Oryctolagus cuniculus: one gene and its partners. Each later gene encodes a partner of the first gene's protein in a complex. Links are inferred from orthologs where the notes say so. Each region holds a gene or a part of one and is shown in the gene's direction. Other genes may lie near its edges. The genes, in order: NGFR, ARHGDIA, TRADD and RIPK2.

Evidence for each region.
Region 2: the proteins of NGFR (region 1) and ARHGDIA are in contact, whole or in part, in an NMR structure (PDB 8X8T), measured with the Homo sapiens proteins. The link is inferred for Oryctolagus cuniculus from reciprocal best matches to the Homo sapiens genes NGFR and ARHGDIA. Residues at the interface, in NP_002498.1 of Homo sapiens: Arg274, Trp275, Ser277, Cys278, Lys279, Gln280, Lys282, Gln283, Gly284, Ala285, Ser287, Arg288, Pro289, Val290, Asn291, Gln292, Thr293, Pro294, Pro295, Pro296, Glu299, Lys300, Leu301, Ile307, Ser308, Val309, Gln312, Ser313, Asp316, Gln317; in NP_001172006.1 of Homo sapiens: Ala8, Glu9, Leu11, Ala12, Gln13, Ile14, Ala15, Ala16, Glu17, Asn18, Glu19, Glu20, Asp21, Glu22, Val25, Pro30, Ala31, Gln32, Lys33, Ile35, Gln36, Glu37, Ile38, Gln39, Glu40, Leu41, Asp42, Lys43, Asp44, Asp45.
Region 3: the proteins of NGFR (region 1) and TRADD are in contact, whole or in part, in an NMR structure (PDB 7CSQ), measured with the Homo sapiens proteins. The link is inferred for Oryctolagus cuniculus from reciprocal best matches to the Homo sapiens genes NGFR and TRADD. Residues at the interface, in NP_002498.1 of Homo sapiens: Glu345, Glu346, Glu348, Lys349, Leu350, Asn352, Gly353, Ser354, Ala355, Glu379, Ala380, Cys381, Arg384, Glu420; in NP_001310481.1 of Homo sapiens: Thr201, Phe202, Asn211, Ala275, Glu276, Arg278, Arg279, Thr281, Gln283, Arg284, Glu287.
Region 4: the proteins of NGFR (region 1) and RIPK2 are in contact, whole or in part, in an NMR structure (PDB 2N83), measured with the Homo sapiens proteins. The link is inferred for Oryctolagus cuniculus from reciprocal best matches to the Homo sapiens genes NGFR and RIPK2. Residues at the interface, in NP_002498.1 of Homo sapiens: Gly334, Leu335, Ser338, Leu339, Pro340, Lys343, Val347, Ser354, Ala355, Asp357, Arg360, His361, Gly364, Glu365, Tyr368, Pro370, Ile373, Asp374, Leu398, Asp399, Leu401, Leu402, Arg406, Arg407, Ile408, Gln409, Arg410, Ala411, Asp412, Val414; in NP_003812.1 of Homo sapiens: Gln437, Ser465, Arg466, Asp467, Leu468, Met470, Glu472, Asp495, Ile496, Gln497, Gly498, Glu499, Glu500, Lys503, Ile523, Leu524, Val526, Ser527, Arg528, Ser529, Pro530, Ser531, Leu532, Asn533, Leu534, Gln536.

Annotation. Positions count from the first base shown.
Region 1 is NC_091448.1:25,541,860-25,545,416, forward strand, and holds part of NGFR (tumor necrosis factor receptor superfamily member 16), read left to right. Parts: intron 1-871; coding exon 872-1,231; intron 1,232-3,557. UniProt on the Homo sapiens protein: Low affinity receptor which can bind to NGF, BDNF, NTF3, and NTF4. Forms a heterodimeric receptor with SORCS2 that binds the precursor forms of NGF, BDNF and NTF3 with high affinity, and has much lower affinity for mature NGF and BDNF.
Region 2 is NC_091448.1:1,032,138-1,036,344, forward strand, and holds ARHGDIA (rho GDP-dissociation inhibitor 1), read left to right. Parts: upstream 1-1,378; 5' UTR 1,379-1,511; intron 1,512-1,851; exon of another isoform or gene 1,852-1,982; intron 1,983-2,183; 5' UTR 2,184-2,207; coding exon 2,208-2,397; intron 2,398-2,487; coding exon 2,488-2,571; intron 2,572-2,696; coding exon 2,697-2,773; intron 2,774-2,849; coding exon 2,850-2,913; intron 2,914-3,119; coding exon 3,120-3,319; 3' UTR 3,320-4,120; downstream 4,121-4,207. UniProt on the Homo sapiens protein: Controls Rho proteins homeostasis. Regulates the GDP/GTP exchange reaction of the Rho proteins by inhibiting the dissociation of GDP from them, and the subsequent binding of GTP to them.
Region 3 is NC_091449.1:50,463,301-50,467,298, reverse strand, and holds the start of TRADD (tumor necrosis factor receptor type 1-associated DEATH domain protein), read left to right. Parts: upstream 1-1,184; 5' UTR 1,185-1,299; intron 1,300-1,462; exon of another isoform or gene 1,463-1,635; coding exon of another isoform or gene 1,636-1,787; intron 1,788-1,998; coding exon of another isoform or gene 1,999-2,068; intron 2,069-2,245; coding exon of another isoform or gene 2,246-2,311; intron 2,312-2,410; coding exon of another isoform or gene 2,411-2,516; intron 2,517-2,769; 5' UTR 2,770-2,869; intron 2,870-3,005; coding exon of another isoform or gene 3,006-3,233; intron 3,234-3,358; coding exon of another isoform or gene 3,359-3,509; intron 3,510-3,728; coding exon of another isoform or gene 3,729-3,831; intron 3,832-3,998. Other genes in the region: HSF4 (heat shock factor protein 4), read right to left, coding at 1,636-1,787, 1,999-2,068, 2,246-2,311, 2,411-2,516, 3,006-3,233, 3,359-3,483, 3,729-3,831. UniProt on the Homo sapiens protein: Adapter molecule for TNFRSF1A/TNFR1 that specifically associates with the cytoplasmic domain of activated TNFRSF1A/TNFR1 mediating its interaction with FADD.
Region 4 is NC_091437.1:115,014,909-115,018,465, forward strand, and holds part of RIPK2 (receptor-interacting serine/threonine-protein kinase 2), read left to right. Parts: intron 1-695; coding exon 696-853; intron 854-2,880; coding exon 2,881-2,930; intron 2,931-3,557.

The DNA of each region.
Region 1 (3,557 bases):
AGGCTCCACGACAGCAACCCTGTGTCCATCTTGTCTCTTGATGCTTTTAGTTAAGGGAGAGACCTGACCCCATGGCTGCCTCAGTTTCCCTCGGCTGGGCTCCTCCCTCCCACCCCCTCCATGCTCCAGACAGCCCCGCCTTCCCTGGTCCTCAGGTTTCTAAATCCAAGCTCTGCCAGCCCTGGGAGCAAGGGTGGGACCGTGTTCCCCACCCTGGGCTGCAGAGGGGAGGAAGGCCTGGCCCCGCCCCCGGCTCCCTCGCACCCCGGCATCTCCACTCTCTCCGCTGATTCCCGAGCTCACCTCCCTTCATTAAGAGCGTGAGTCAAGAGGAAGTTTGCAAATCTCCCCTTTGTGCCACTCGCTGACTGCACGCAAGTCCTGGCTTTCCAGCCTCAGCCCTCCTGCTGTACCTGAACTCTCCTGGCCTGGACTCCGGTCCCCACCCTCCCAGGCCGAGCCCTGGAGCAGGGTGGGGAGGCACCCTGGGTGGGAGCCTGAGTGACTCCCAGGCGGAGGCTCCCTAGGGGCAGGCTGGCCTGCCCGGGCTGGGTTCACAGCCCTGCTCAGGCCCCCGGAAGGGCTGGGTAGGCTGGGTGGGGACTGGGCTCAGTTCTCTCCCTAATCACCCAGGCAGCAAGAGAATTCTCAAAAAGAACTTGCCAAGAGATTTGGCGGCACCAGCTGGGCTACCCCCGGGAGCCTGGGGGCCTGTGCTTCTTGGGAATTGGACAATGGGGCCCTTAGCTACCTTCCCAGGGCAGCTGGCACCAGGGATCCCAGAGCCGCGGGGGCGGGAGAGATCACAGGTGCACCCTGTACTCGAGTGCTCAAGGTGCAGGCCACTGCCCGGCTGTCCCTGTGCCCGCAGGCGTGACGTTCTCCGACGTGGTGAGCGCCACCGAGCCGTGCAAGCCTTGCACCGAGTGCGTGGGCCTGCAGAGCATGTCGGCGCCCTGCGTGGAGGCGGACGACGCCGTGTGCCGCTGTGCCTACGGCTACTACCAGGATGAGACGACTGGACGCTGCGAGGCGTGCCGCGTGTGCGAGGCGGGCTCGGGCCTGGTGTTCTCGTGCCAGGACAAGCAGAACACGGTGTGTGAGGAGTGCCCCGACGGCACCTACTCTGACGAGGCCAACCACGTGGACCCGTGCCTGCCGTGCACCGTGTGCGAGGACACCGAGCGCCAGCTGCGCGAGTGCTCACGCTGGGCCGATGCTGAGTGCGAGGGTGAGAGCAGTGGCGGGGTCGGGGGTGGGGGCGATAGCGGTTGGCCCGGGTGCCCTCTGGGCAGCGAGGTGGGGAGGAGTGGAAGGGGCACTGACCAGAAGGCCCTGTCCTAGCCCGGAAACCCCAGGGAGGGCAATGTTCCCAAGCCCATCCCACCGAAGGACCCCTCCTCTCACTGTTGGCGTCCTGGGGCTCCCCATCGGGGAAAAGCCAACTGTATCACCGACTCGGAGTGCAGCTACTGCGTCCCAGCTCGCTCCCCGGGACTTCACTCACCCATGGCTGCCAGCTGGAGATTGGACGGGTCGCCGGTGGTGGCCGGAAGATGGCCACAGGGCACAGAGTGGGACATGCAAGACCCTTGTGGTGGGCTTCGTGAGCTGGAAAAGGGCTGGAGGACTCAGGGGCAGGGACCCTTTGGCTCTGAGACCTCATCTAGGTCCCTGGTGGCTCTGCTGCCTGGGATGGGCTCCACCCTGTCGCTGCTGAGTGATGTTAGGGGGGTCACCTCTGTCTCTGGATCTGTCCCCAGGGTGGTTGTGTCATGTGGTTCCCATGGTTCCTGGGGTAGGGAACACACAGTGCGGCTGGCAACAGGAGGGCGCGCAGCTTCCAGAGTGGATGAGAGTGCTTAGCCAGGCACAGGGGTCCGGGAGATAGGGTGGCTCCCGGATGAGAGGAACAGACGCGGTGGGAGCTGGGGCATAGCTGTTTTGGGCTCTGCTGGATGATGTCCATCTTGGGCGAGGCGGATGGGCTTCTCGCCTGCAGGGGAGATGACTTTATGTTCTGTCCATCACCCATTGGCCAAGGCCTCCATTGAGCCATTTCTCTGAGCGGGGAGCACAGCGCCCCCTTCAGGACAGAGACCGTCTTGGCTCCAGTCTGATGAGGGAGACTTGGCCCCAGCACTTATCCCAGCCCTGGGAACTTGGGAGACCTCCCACTCCGATGGAAGCAGCACAGCCTCTGCCTTCCATCAGCCCCCTCCTTCCACACATCCCCGGACCCTGGAGGGCCCCCCAGTTGGAAAGAGGCCCCCACACACCCATCCCTGCCTTCCAAGTCCTGTAATCCTGGCCCTGGGTGCTCAGGTGCCGGGCGGGCTCTGAAGCGGGGCTGAGGCCAGGTGTGTGCTTGAAGCTTGCTGCATTAGAAAAGGGTGGAGGGGGGAAGGAGGGAAGAACGGGGAGGTGCTGGTGCCATTGCCTGGGGCCAGGGGGCAGGCAGCGGGCAGAGCCGGGAGGGAGCCAGCCAGCACACAAGGGGCAGTGCAGTTCATGGGGCAAGACTGGACTAGCCAGCGGGGGCCTTAGTCAGGGGCGTGGTTAGAGGCGAAGAGGGTGGCTGCGGGGGAGGGGGAGGCAGGCTCTGCCTTTGCGGGGGTTTACGGATGCCTCCCAGGTACCACCCCACTTTCCCAGCACCTCCCAAGGAGGAGTATGCCCCCGGAGGATGTGTTTGCTCCTGCCCCTACTCCCCTTTCAGCTCCAGCCTCCGAAGCTGGGGGGTGGAGGGAGTGGGGGCGAGGGACCACTTCAGGAAATGGAATCTGAGTCTTGGTTTGGTGCACCCCCAGCTTGCCTGCGTATACATTTCAGGTGTCAACAGGGTGACTCACCCACCTCCCCACCCCTCAGTGAGATTCAGGTTTAGGAGGGGTGACCCGGTCCCTCCTCCCAACGCAGGTCTAACAGCTCCTATTCCGGAAATGGCTGTCAGGGCTGGCCAAGGGCTTAGCGGGTTGGAATGTGAGTGGACGCGGCCACATCTGGGTCTCATCCTGGCCCACATCAGAAGGGGGAGGTGAGGTGAGGCTGCGCGCCTGGGCAGCGGCTCAGTCTTCAGTCTGACTTGTCCCCAGAGCCCTTTCTCGTTTTCCTTCGCCAGGGCTCTCTTCTGTAATGGCCGGATTCACCCCACCCACACTCCTTCAGTCTCTGGGCCAGAGCGGGTCTGAGCTGAGCTGTATCTTCAGCCTCCCGGCTCCAGCTGCCCCCAGCTTGCCCAGTCCCCTCTCAGGACCCCCAAAGACCCTCCCTAGTCTGAGGCTGCGGGAGACAGGGCTGTGTCTTCTCCACTTCCCACCTGACCCCCTCCCAGGACTGAGATGGCGGAGGGGAGGATGGGCAACAGATGGCAGCCCCCTCCCCACTGCCATACAGGTGGAGTCCAGATTCACATCTGGGGGCCTTTCCCCTTGGAAGGTGTGAAAACGGGGGCCTTTGAAGCATTTTCACCTTGAGCCCCGAAGACCGGTGGGCAGCTCGGACTCCCACTTGGGTGGGCAAGCTGAGGCCCGGGCGGGGCAGAGCTGGGGAGCCCG
Region 2 (4,207 bases), about 25 Mb from region 1:
CCGCTGCCGTGAGCTCTGAGAAGCCGCACACCTCGGCCTTGCAACAGAGTATACACGGCAGGCCCTGTTGCATTCAATGTTTTTATTTGAACCAGGATAACTCCATTTTTTTTTTTTTTTTTTTTTTTTTTTTTTTGAAAATCAGAGTTAGAGGAGAGGTAGAGAGAGAGGTCTTGACCATCCGCTGGTTCACTCCCCAGTTGGCCCCAACAGCTGGAGCTGCGCTGATCCAAAGCCGGGAGCCAGGAGCTTCTTCCGGGTCTCCCATGCGGGTGCAGGGGCCCAGCACTTGGGCATCTTCCACTGCTTTCCCAGGCCACAGAGAGAGCTGGATCGGAAGAGGAGCAGCCGGGACTCGAACCAGCCAGAGCCAGACCCGCCCCTGGGTGTGGGGGGGAGCAGGGGAGGCAGTGCGGCCTGGGGGGGGGGGGGCAGTGCGGCCGGGGGCAGTGGCAGTGGCTGGAGATGCTCAGGCCCATTCAGTGTCGGGGCGTCGCCCTGCCGGCCTGCTCCAGGGACCCCTCTGTCCAGGGACCCCTCTGTCCGGCGCTCACGTCCATGGAGCCCCGTCTGCCAGGTCCGCCCAACCCTGCAGGGACGGCAGAGCTGAGGGAACCCCGAGACCTCCAGGGGAGGCGGGAGCAGCCAACCAGCGAGGGCCACGCGCCGGACTCCACCCAGGTCTCCGCCACGGGTGCCAGGGACCCCAGGTCTTGGGCTGTCGCCTGATCTCCCCCAGCCCATTAACAGGAAGCTGGATGGGAAGGGAGCAACCAGGACCGTCCCGAGTGGTGCTCGAGCCACGGTGCCGGTCAGCGCTGCCCCGAACCGGATTCCGGCCGAGGAGCAGCAGATGGGGGCCGCGGTCGAGGCCCCGACAGCTCCGGGGGCTGCACTGGGGGGTCCCGTGCCAGCCCCAGCCAGGGCGCCGAGGGGCTCGCCGACGCCTGCAGCAGCTGTCGGCGGGGCGGGCCAAGCCCCTCGCGTCTCCCGCGCGGGAGGCCTGGACCGTGCACCTGGGGAGTGAACCGGCGGGGGCAAGATCTGACCTCTCTAACTCGGCCTTTCAAATAAATAAATATTAAAGAAAGAAAAGGACAAGCTTCAGGCTCTAGTCCACCCCGGGGGTCCTGACGACGCCCCCCCCCGCTCTGCCGCTGCAGTGGGCAGCTGTGTCCCCCCGCCTGGCGACCCACAGGGCCGACCGCGGGGCCTCGCAGTGGCTGGCGCGGGAGGCGTCCTGGTCCCTCGGGCGCCCACCTCGAGGACCACGCCGCCCAGCGGGAAGCGCCCACGAGGCCCGGCCCGCAAGATGGCGCCCGCAGCGCACGCGCCCTGGCCGCAGCGCTCCCGCCGCGCATGCGCAGCCCCGCCGGCCCGCCCGCCGAGAGCGGAAGTCGCGTTGACCCCGGAAGTGACAGGCGGGCGGGCGGACGGACGGGCGGGGCGGCGGACGACGTTCGTCATCTGCTGCGGGAGGGAGCGCGAGAGCTACGCGGTCGAGCCCTCCGGTGAGTGGCCCCTGCGGGGCCGAGCGCCGCGCGGGTGGGCAGCGGGTCGGGCGCGCCGGCGGCGGCCGCGGCGCGGGGGAGGAGCCGCCTTTGTCCCGCCCGCCCCGCCCTGCGCCCGCGGCGGGTCTCGGCGGGGCGGGGGCTGACAGCGGCGGCCGGCGCGGGGCGGGCCCGGGCGGGGCGGCGGCCCCACGTGCGGAGGGGCCGCGGGCGTGGGCGGGGGGCCGCCCGGGCCCCGCGCGCGCTCCGGCGGCCCTGCGTGCAGGGGGCCGGGCCCGAAGCCCCCTCCCGGGGGCCGCGGGCGCTGCCGCCCCGGCCCCGCCCCGCCCGTCGCCCGGATTGCGGGCCCTGCGGAAGTGCGGGCCCCGCCCTGGCTGTAGCCCGCGGCCGCCGCTGCCGGCCCGGTTTGTGCGCGGGGCGTTGTGCGTGCGCTGCGCTCTGACCGCCTCCAGCCCCGCCCGGAGCGAGCCGGTGGGTGCTCAGGGTTCCGGGGCGCGCAGGGCGCTGCAGCCCCTCCCGGATCTCGGGTCCGAGCCCCTCGGCGTGGGGTGGCCCTCGTGCCCCGACGCGCGGGCGCCAGGAGAGGCCTTGCGGGCGAGGGCGGCCGCGGGACGCGGGAGGGCCGTGGTGGGGGAGGCGGCTGCCGGCGGCCACAGCCCTGCGCGCCCACAGGTGTGCAGGCAGCGAGCGGCGAGCATGGCTGAGCAGGAGCCCACGGCCGAGCAGCTGGCGCAGATCGCGGCGGAGAACGAGGAGGACGAGCACTCGGTCAACTACAAGCCGCCGGCGCAGAAGAGCATCCAGGAGATCCAGGAGCTGGACAAGGACGACGAGAGCCTGCGCAAGTACAAGGAGGCCCTGCTGGGCCGCGTGGCCGTGTCCGCGGGTGAGTGGGTGTGGCCGCGGGGCACCTGTCCGCCCTCGCCTGCCCCGGCGGCCGCGGCGGGCGGGGGTCTCACCGGCCGGCTCTCCCCAGACCCCAGCGTGCCGAACGTCGTCGTGACCCGCCTGACCCTGGTGTGCAGCACGGCCCCGGGCCCCCTGGAGCTGGACCTGACCGGTGAGTGGGCGCCCGCGGCCCTGGGTGGGGCTGGCTGCCACCCTGTTGCTTCCGCTAAGTGATGTGGTGCGGGGCTGCCCCCTGGCGGGCCCTGGCGGAAGTGCGCTCGTGTGCTCCCCGCACAGGAGACCTGGAGAGCTTCAAGAAGCAGTCGTTCGTGCTGAAGGAGGGCGTGGAGTACCGGATAAAGATCTCCTTCCGGGTAGGCCGGGCGCGCCGCGGGGGCGTGGGCCCGCTGACCCCGCTGACCCCGCTGACCCCCGCTGTGGCGCCCGCAGGTGAACCGAGAGATCGTGTCCGGCATGAAGTACATCCAGCACACCTACAGGAAAGGCGTCAAGAGTGAGTGCGCGTGGCCACGCCCCGCGTCTGGCCACGCCCCCGGGAGCGAATGGGGGCAGACCTGGGGAGGGGGCAGGAGTGGCCACGCCCCGTGGGAAAGGGTCTGGAGGGACGCCTGAGGCCACGCCCAGTCTGGTCACGCCCTCGGGAAGGGCGGGGCGCCGAGGCCACGCCCCGCGCCGCTGACCGCGCCCCGCGCCCCGCAGTCGACAAGACCGACTACATGGTGGGCAGCTACGGGCCGCGGGCCGAGGAGTACGAGTTCCTGACGCCCATGGAGGAGGCGCCCAAGGGCATGCTGGCGCGCGGCAGCTACAACATCAGGTCCCGCTTCACGGACGACGACAAGACGGACCACCTGTCCTGGGAGTGGAACCTCACCATCAAGAAGGAGTGGAAGGACTGAGCCCCCCCACCGAAGTGCTGACAGGGCCCCCGCGGCCCTCCCCCCTTGGCCCTCCTGCGCCCACAGGCCCCGCCCGCGGTGGTCTGCCGTTGCTGCTTCTGCCTGTGCTGCCGGGGGAGGCCCGGCCCGAGTCTCCCTGCCCGCTGTGTTCCCCAGGTCCCCCCCCACCGCCACGCCCGCGGCCCTGGCCCTTAGGAGGGAGCGGGGCGGCCGCGCGGGAGCTGGGGTGCGTGAGGCAGCCCCATCCACTCCCCGGCCAGTTCATCTGTCGCTCAGTACCGTCTAACCATGATGCCTTAACGTGTGGAATGCGTCCCGGGAGCTGCCATTCACTCCCCGTGTCTGCCCCGCCCACCGCCCCCGCGACAGGGGAGGGGCGCCAGTGCCGCCTCCCTGCCCCCCAGCCCCCTGGCCTGGCCAGCCGACCCCTGTCCCCCGGCCGCTGGGGCGGGCCACGTTGCCAAACGCCAGGCACTTCTGTCCCGTGGGGGGGGGGCAGGCGTCCCACACCTCCGCCTGCCCTGTCCCAGCGGCCAGCACTGACCCCTCCCCCGCAGAGCCCCCGGCAGACGGTGCGGCCGAGCCTTCCTGCTCTCCGGGCCGCAGTATTTATTGCCTCTGTTCGTGCCGTCCTGGGCCCTCCCGGACCCTGCAGGACAAACCTGGGACCAAGTGCACACCGCTGGGGGCCGTCCCCGTGCCTCCCCCCAGTCTCCGTGTGGCGTCTGCCGGGCTCGGCCTCCACAGCCGCAGGAGCCCCCGCTTCTCCTCCCCCAATTGGGAAATAAACTGCCCCGAGGACCCGCGTCTGCTCGGCCCTCTTTGGGGTGGGCGGTGACCACGGCGCGGGAAACCATGGGACACTTGGGGCAGAAGTCTGCCCAGGGG
Region 3 (3,998 bases), on another chromosome or scaffold:
CACCTCCCTCAGCCCTGACGGCCAGGTCCTTCCTCATTTCCCTTCACCATTCGGCCAGGCAGAGTGGTGTCACTATGTCCCGGGCACCTCTGAGCCTTTGCTGATGCTGTTCCCCAAGCCTGGCGTGCCCTTCCCCTCCCTCCACTTCTCCCAAGACTCAAATATTCCCTTGTCCACTCCAATGCCAGAGTGTCCCAAGGTAGTTCCTTCTTCCGGGTATCCCAGTGAGCAAGGCATACCCGCACTCCTGACCTTAACTAACATCCCTGCGCTGCGAAAACGCGGCTTTCGGACGGTCGGCCAACGGCGGGCACCGGGAGGGAGAGCGGAGCGGCACTTATTCTGGGTAACACGGAGGGGTGCGCAGATTGCGTCGCCCAGTCCTCCTGTCTCCCTCCTCTCTAACTTGCTTCATGTTAACCTCATTTCCCCGAGACCAGCCCTGTGCGTGCAAGGCGTGCGGAGCGGAGAGCCAGCAGCGCTCACAGCTCTAAGGTGAACCCCGAAGTTAAGGCAGGGGTCAGAGGCCAGATGCTTCCCAAGGCACCAGGCGGCGAGACGTGAAGCTGGCTCCCGCCCTCCCCCCACTCCCCATCCCCACCTGCTGCACCCTCCGGCTCTTCTGCTAGGCAGCCGGAGGTCGTGGGAAACAGCGGGCGCCTTTGCGCATGTGCGACCGCCCAGCTGCCCTTACCTCCCCAGCGCCCAGCGCCCAGCGCCGGAGCCGCCGAGTCCTGCGGCGGGGCGGGGCGGGGCTCACAGACCACCTTCGTGGCGGCTGCGGGTGGTGAGGCTGGTTCCGCCCAATCTGTTTCCCTTCCCGCCCCCAGCCGGGAGGAGCGGGGCTCCGAGTCGGGTCCGCTACGGGCGGCCCCGCTCACGGGTCGGGCCTCGGCGGGGCGGGAGATGACGGTGCAGAAAGGGCCGGGCGGGGTGGGGGTGGGAGCAACAGCTGCGACGGGGGCGGGACGGCCGGGGCTGCCGGGAATGGCGGGGGGCGGGGGCGTCCTTGCCCAGCACCTGGAGCCGGGCTCCGCTTGCCCGCGGGGCTCCCCGGGAGATGAGCTGGGGAGGAGGCAGTTGGGCCCGCACCCCACGTAGCCAGCGCCCACGCTGGGCCTGCCAGTTGTCAGTGCGCTTCACAGCTCTCCTCTCATCGACCTCCCTCCTCTCTGCTTGTCCCAGACGAGGCTCAGAGAAGGGGACCGACCGACTCGTGGTCACAGAGCGCTGCATCGCTGGGCAGGGTGCGTCCCAGAGGTTGCAGGGGCCACGCGTGAGCCCTGGATCCCGGCCTAAGTAAGAGGGTTGGCCCCCTCCCCGCTTCCCAAGTACCATGACTCTCTGGAGATTCTTCCATTAAAGCCCTAGCACCTGGACGCTTTTACGAATGCAAAGTTCCCCTTCCATCACCAGGACACCTGTGCTCCCTCCCTGGTCGACGGAGAAAAGAGAGCAGAAACACAGAAAAAAATGCAATTTATGTGCAGGGCTCATCAGGGTGCTGGAGAGAGGCCGCGGAGTCAAGGAGAGGGGGTTCACTCACCCCCCGCCAGGGGGCGCCAGGAAGCCGAGAGGGGGTGTGCCGCTGTGGACTGGTCCCTCAGCCAGCCCGGCTTCATTTGCTTGCAGGTTTCAAGGGGAAGGACTGGCCCCGGGGCCCAGGTAGGAGGCCCTGCTCTCAGGGGTGCTGTAAATGGTTAAAGCCCCAGGCAAGCCGAGAGCTGGGCCTCCCAAGGCCGCCTGGACATCCAGCAGGAGCGGGGCCCCCAGCGTAGGGTCCTTCCCTAGGAAGAGTGGGTTTGTGCTCAGCAGCCAGGAAAGGTTGCCCTTCCCACCACTCAGTGAGGATGAAACATTCCTAACCTCCTCCTCTCCTGCCATGGTGAGGGGGTGGCTGGACCAAGCCGGGGGGCTTCCCTGCAGAACACCCCCCCCCCCCCATCATGGTAACTTGCTCAGTCATGGCCTCCCTCAGGTCCTGAGTCACCACATTACCTGGGCCTGGAGAACTTAATCCCTTTACTGCCAGCTCACTCTCACCCCTCTCTGGAACCAACGGCTGCATCTGCAAGAGAGAACCCCAGGAAGTAGCTGGGCAGGGAGCCAGTGGCTGAGGGGGAGAGCTGGGGACCCCCAGCCCCGGGCAGGCCTCTGCCAATATGGCTTTGGCCCACAAAAAAGCACGGACCAAAGGGTGAGAGTCCACAACCCCAGACCCCTACCATCCCCTCCCTCATCTTACCAGGGACAGCTCCATGTCTAAGTCCATCAAGGTCCATTCTCTGCCTTGGAGGCTGGGGCCCAGCACCTGGGGAGCACGCCAGGTTAGTGGTGCCCTCCCCGTACTGCCCAGACAGCTGGGCCCTGGGGGTTCTCCTGCCCGTGCCCCAGCCAAAGGGGTACTCACATCCAGGGGTCCTGCAGGCTCCACACCTTCAGGAGGGGCCCTGAGCAGCATTGGAGGCAGCAGACTCTCTGGGCTCCTGTCCCCCCTCTCCAGGCCCAGAGGCCCCCTGTGCACAGAGAATCGCTATTGCCCTGCAGTGCCCACCCCCTATTAGGTTCCTAAGGAATGAAATTCCCCAACATCTAGAAAATGCTACGCTGCCCCTCCCCCCACCAGAGGGCTTCCCACCTGGGACCTGAGGTTTGGGCTGTGGAGCTGGGGGCTTGGGAGGCATCTCCTCCCCACACCAGTGTCAGTACCAATGGTTCTTAAACTATCGTGTATTTTACAGTGATTTCAGTGAACTCGTTTACATGCAGATTTCTGGGTCCTACCACAGAGACGCTGAGTGACCTGCCTGGGAGTTCCTGCTGTGAACCCTGACGCTGGTGCTCCAGGGAGCACTCTGGGTGGAATCAGGTCAGTATCTGAGATCCCACTGCCCACTCTCCCCCTCCGCCATGAAGGGCCAGACCCAGCCGGGCAGCTGGGCCTGCCTGACTAGTGCTGCTCCACCTGCAGAGGTGGCCGCCAGTCAAGAATGGGCTCTGCTCACCTGTCGGGAACCTCCCTGGGACCCCTTGGTTCAGGCTGTTGGGCATTCCTGGGCCCTTCTGGGCTGAAGCTCCCTTTCCCTTCCAGGATGGCCTGCACCACAGCCACAGGCAGCGGTGGGGGGGCTGTCACGCAGAAGTCACACTCGTTTGGGGCCAGGGCCAGCCCGGCCTCGCCATCCCCCCCTGGACTGGCCGGCTCTTCTTTGAGCAGTGCCAGGCCCTTCTCCCTGCACGGAGAAAAGCTTCAACCAGACCCTGGCACTGACCTCTCCCCCACCCTCACAGCCACCTGGGCTGCCAGGCCCTCCCCTTCCAAGCTCCCCCCAGCCCAGGGCAGCCCCGAGCCCCTTACCTCGTGCCACCACTGGGGGGAGACAGCCTGGGCCCTTCAGGGGATGGGGAGTCTTCTGGGATGTCAGAGATGATGGGGCCCCTGGCCCTGTGAGTGCTGAGACCCAGGGTAGTCTCTGGGAGGGGCTGTAAGGAGAAGAATAGACCCAGCCCTTGACCTCCAGCCACAGGGAGAGCCAGAGGCTAACCAGAGCCCACCTGGACCATGTCTAAGGGAAAATGTTTGAGGAGGGCCGCTCAGGCCATGCTGGGGAGCCCAGGTCAGGTTGGGGGTGAAGCCTGGCCTCCATCTTCTCTTTTGGGAGTGGGGGGAAGGGAAAGGCTCTCCATCCACCCCACTGGGCCCTAGGGGAGGGGAGAAGAGAACCTACCGACTGGATAAAGTAGGGGTCCTGCAGGAGGGCACCAGCAAGGGGGCAGGTGTTGAACTTGGCGGGTGTCGGGCAGGAGCTCCCCTCATCCAGCATCAGGGACCTGTGCAGGGTGACCGGGCACAGGCAGGGGTGGGCAGGTCAGCTCCCCTGTGCCTCAGCCTGCACTTCCCTCCCTCCCTCCCTCAGGCCCCAGCAGCCAAGTCAGCAGAGCTGAGGCCTGTTGCCAGGGCATCAGTCACATGCTGGAGGTGGAAGGGGCTCCCCCCC
Region 4 (3,557 bases), on another chromosome or scaffold:
GTGAATTTCAAAAGCACATGCTATCAAGCTATTTACCATAAAAATAAAGTGTTCAATGTATACACTTGCACCAAACTGAAGGGAAAAATCACTAGTCTTTTGACACTTGTAATATTCTGTTAAACCTCAAGTCAGTATGTATTCCTTCTGGAGTTCTTGAGTTCACTGCTGTGGAACTTAATTTTATTTTTAAAAAAACAGGTTAGAGTCCGGCACCGCAGCTCCATAGGCTAATCCTCTGCGGCATCGGCACACCGGGTTCTAGTCCTGGTCGGGGCGCCGGATTCTGTCCCAGTTGCCCCTCTGCCAGGCCAGCTCTCTGCTATGACCCAGGAGTGCAGTGGAGGATGGCCCAAGTGCTTGGGCCCTGTACCCACATGGGAGACCAGGAGAAGCACCTAGCTCCTGGCTTCTGATCAGTGCGATGCCGGCTGCGGCGGCCATTGAAGGGTGAACCAACGGCAAAGGAAGACCTTTGTCTCTGTCTCCCTCTCTCTCACTGTCCACTCTGCCTGTCAAAAAAAAAAAATTAAAAAAAAAAAAAACAGGTTAGAAAATATAGAAATAAAATATTTATATAACGTTTCCTTTGATCTAACACCTGAATGCAATGGATATACACAAAGACATTCAATTCATTGACTTTTTAAAGAGAAAAATTTTAAATTCAATTATTTACTATTTTTCCCATACAGATTGCAGATTTTGGTTTATCCAAATGGCGAATGATGTCCCTTTCACAGTCACGAAATAGTAAATCTGCACCAGAAGGAGGCACAATTATCTATATGCCACCTGAAAACTATGAACCTGGACAGAAATCAAGGGCCAGTGTCAAGCACGACATATATAGGTACAGTGTATTCCTTTGTTCAGAGTTAATTTAAAATACAAGATTAGTCAACCAGGATTTTGCAGCTCTCATAACTCTGCTGAAAAAATAACAGAGGCCACAGTGTTTAGTATTACTCAATTTAAAAATGCCTTGCTTAAGCAACTTTTATATTCTTTAAAAGATTTTAAAGTACATCTTTTTGTCCTATTTGTTGTATGTAACTTGGGAGAAATAGTTGTTCTTAACATTTTACTTTTAAGTTTCCCATCCTGTTCTACCATTTATTGTCTGATATCTAGACTTTTTTTTTTTTACAAAAATAAACAAATCCTTAAACCAACTGAGATTTTTGTTTTAAAAATCCCTAATGTTTGCATATGTCATATGTGTTTATTAAGATCATGTTTTCATGTTTAACATACAGATTACTTACAACCTTATAATAAGTATAAAACAGTAATGAGTATAATACATTATTCTTGATATTGGATATTTGACCAGAGGAAAGGAAGGTGATAATTTATAATTCACAGAATTAGGGAGTGGCACCAATCATTCATTTCATGTAAAACTGTACTTGTTTCTTTTAACATGCATAATTAATGTAAACCAGAATTAATAGCATATACTATGAACACATTTTATAACCTTTTAAAGTATTTTTGCTATATTTAATAAATAATCGATAAAAATTAAGGTGCATTTAACAATAAATGCTATTTCTCTACCAGAGAATTACATATTTAAATTGTGTATCCCTTGCTCCAAATGATTTAATTTTTATTACTTCTCATTAAATCCAGTACCAACTAACTAGTTTTAGTAGCTATGCTAAGGCACTTAGAGCAAGTGTCTTTTACATTCACATTACTGTATGAATAAAAGTTCTTTTGTATTTTCTATTCTCTGATATCTTTAGTTCATTTTGAATGATGTACTGTGACGATATAGGAGGGTAATTTATATCTTCTAAGGTAAAAATCATACTGTAACCAATAATTTTTGAAAGCGGGGTTGATTCTATAAACAAAGATCTATTTAAATCTGCTTATCATTGATTTTGTGAAGTATGCCTTTATACTCTACTCCTGTATTCCACAGCAGGGAAAATGAGGAAATATTACTCCTTGATTTGGTTGAGAATTCCCTGTGTAACCCTTACTCTCCCTCTAGGATTATGTGTTGGTTGGTAACTAGTCAATTCCAAGTGTCCCTATTGAATGCATTGTTAATTTGGGGATGCAGAAAAATTTCTATATCCTATTTAATCATTTATCCCAAATACAAACTTTGTGTGACTAAACCAGGTGATTTAAAACTGATGTTAATTGTAGGCAGAATGTTACTACCTTGAAGGCAGAGAGTACTCAAACCAGGAAAAAAAGTCATTAGAATGGGACCACATGAGACAGTGTTTTTATTGCTCTTTATTTTGTGCGAAAAATAGGATCACATAATTAAAGAGCATAGCTTATCTGAGTATTCAAGAATGAGTTACCCTTCTAAGGATATCCTTGCATGTAACTTCACAGTTTTATTACCGTGATTTTCTAAAAAAAATGTTTTTGAAAGACAGTGATCCCATTCACTAGCTCCATCTCCAGATGCCTGCATTAGCCAGGACGTGACCAGGCCAAGGCCAGGAGCTGGGAAATCAATCCAGGTTTCACACATGGGTGAGAGGAACTCTATCTATCAGATCCATTGCCACTGTGCCTAGGGTCTACATTGGCAGGAAGCTGAAGATAGAAACCAGACCTGGGTACCAGTACCTCAACCGTGATTTTAACTCTGAGGCCAGATGCCCTCCCCTAATTTTTCAAATTAATATTAATTTCCTTTCCAAACAAAACTGTCTTGACCATTCATCATCTTGGTTTTATGTGGTAATTCTTTAAGCAGCATTTGACTACCTTGTCATTTTCAAAAATGGTATCTTGACAGTTAGCTTTTAAAATTAGTTACTATTTTAGGTTATTATGCAGAGTTCATATATAATGTATAAAATTCATAATGTATGTAATTTTTGTTTTTATCTTAAACAGCTATGCAATTATCACATGGGAGGTGTTATCCAGAAAACAGCCTTTTGAAGGTAAGAATACTTTGACTTCCTTATTTTTAATAACAACATTTTGGCAGGCTGCACTCAGAACTATCCAACATTCATCTTATTTTAAATGTATCTGTCATTCATTTGTGCAAACTAACAGCATGAAAACAAACATTTTTCAATTACGAATCTATCATTTACAGCAAAGTGTACCAGATTAAGGGTCAGGAAGAATCTAGAATCTTTTTTTATTTTTTTAAAGATTCATTTATTTACTTGAAAGTTGGGAATAACAGAGTGGGAGAGGCAGACAGAGAAAGGTCTTCCATTTGCTGGTTTTACCTCCTGGCTGGGCCAGGCCAGAGCCAGGATCTTCATTTAGGTCTCTCACATTAGTGGCAGGGCCCCAAACACTTGAGCCATCTTTCACTATTTTTCCCAGGCCATTAGCAGGGAACTGGATCCGAAGTAGAGCAGCTGGGACTCAAACCAGCACCCACATTGGATGTGAGCATTGCAGGTAGCAGCTTTATCCACTATATCACCATGCCAGTCCCAAAAATATAGTTTCCTTATTCTTGCTCTGACAGTAATTAAGTCTATGATAAAGTCACTGAATTTCTAGAATCCTCATTTTCCTCATCGACAAAACAAGTATTGAATTACTAT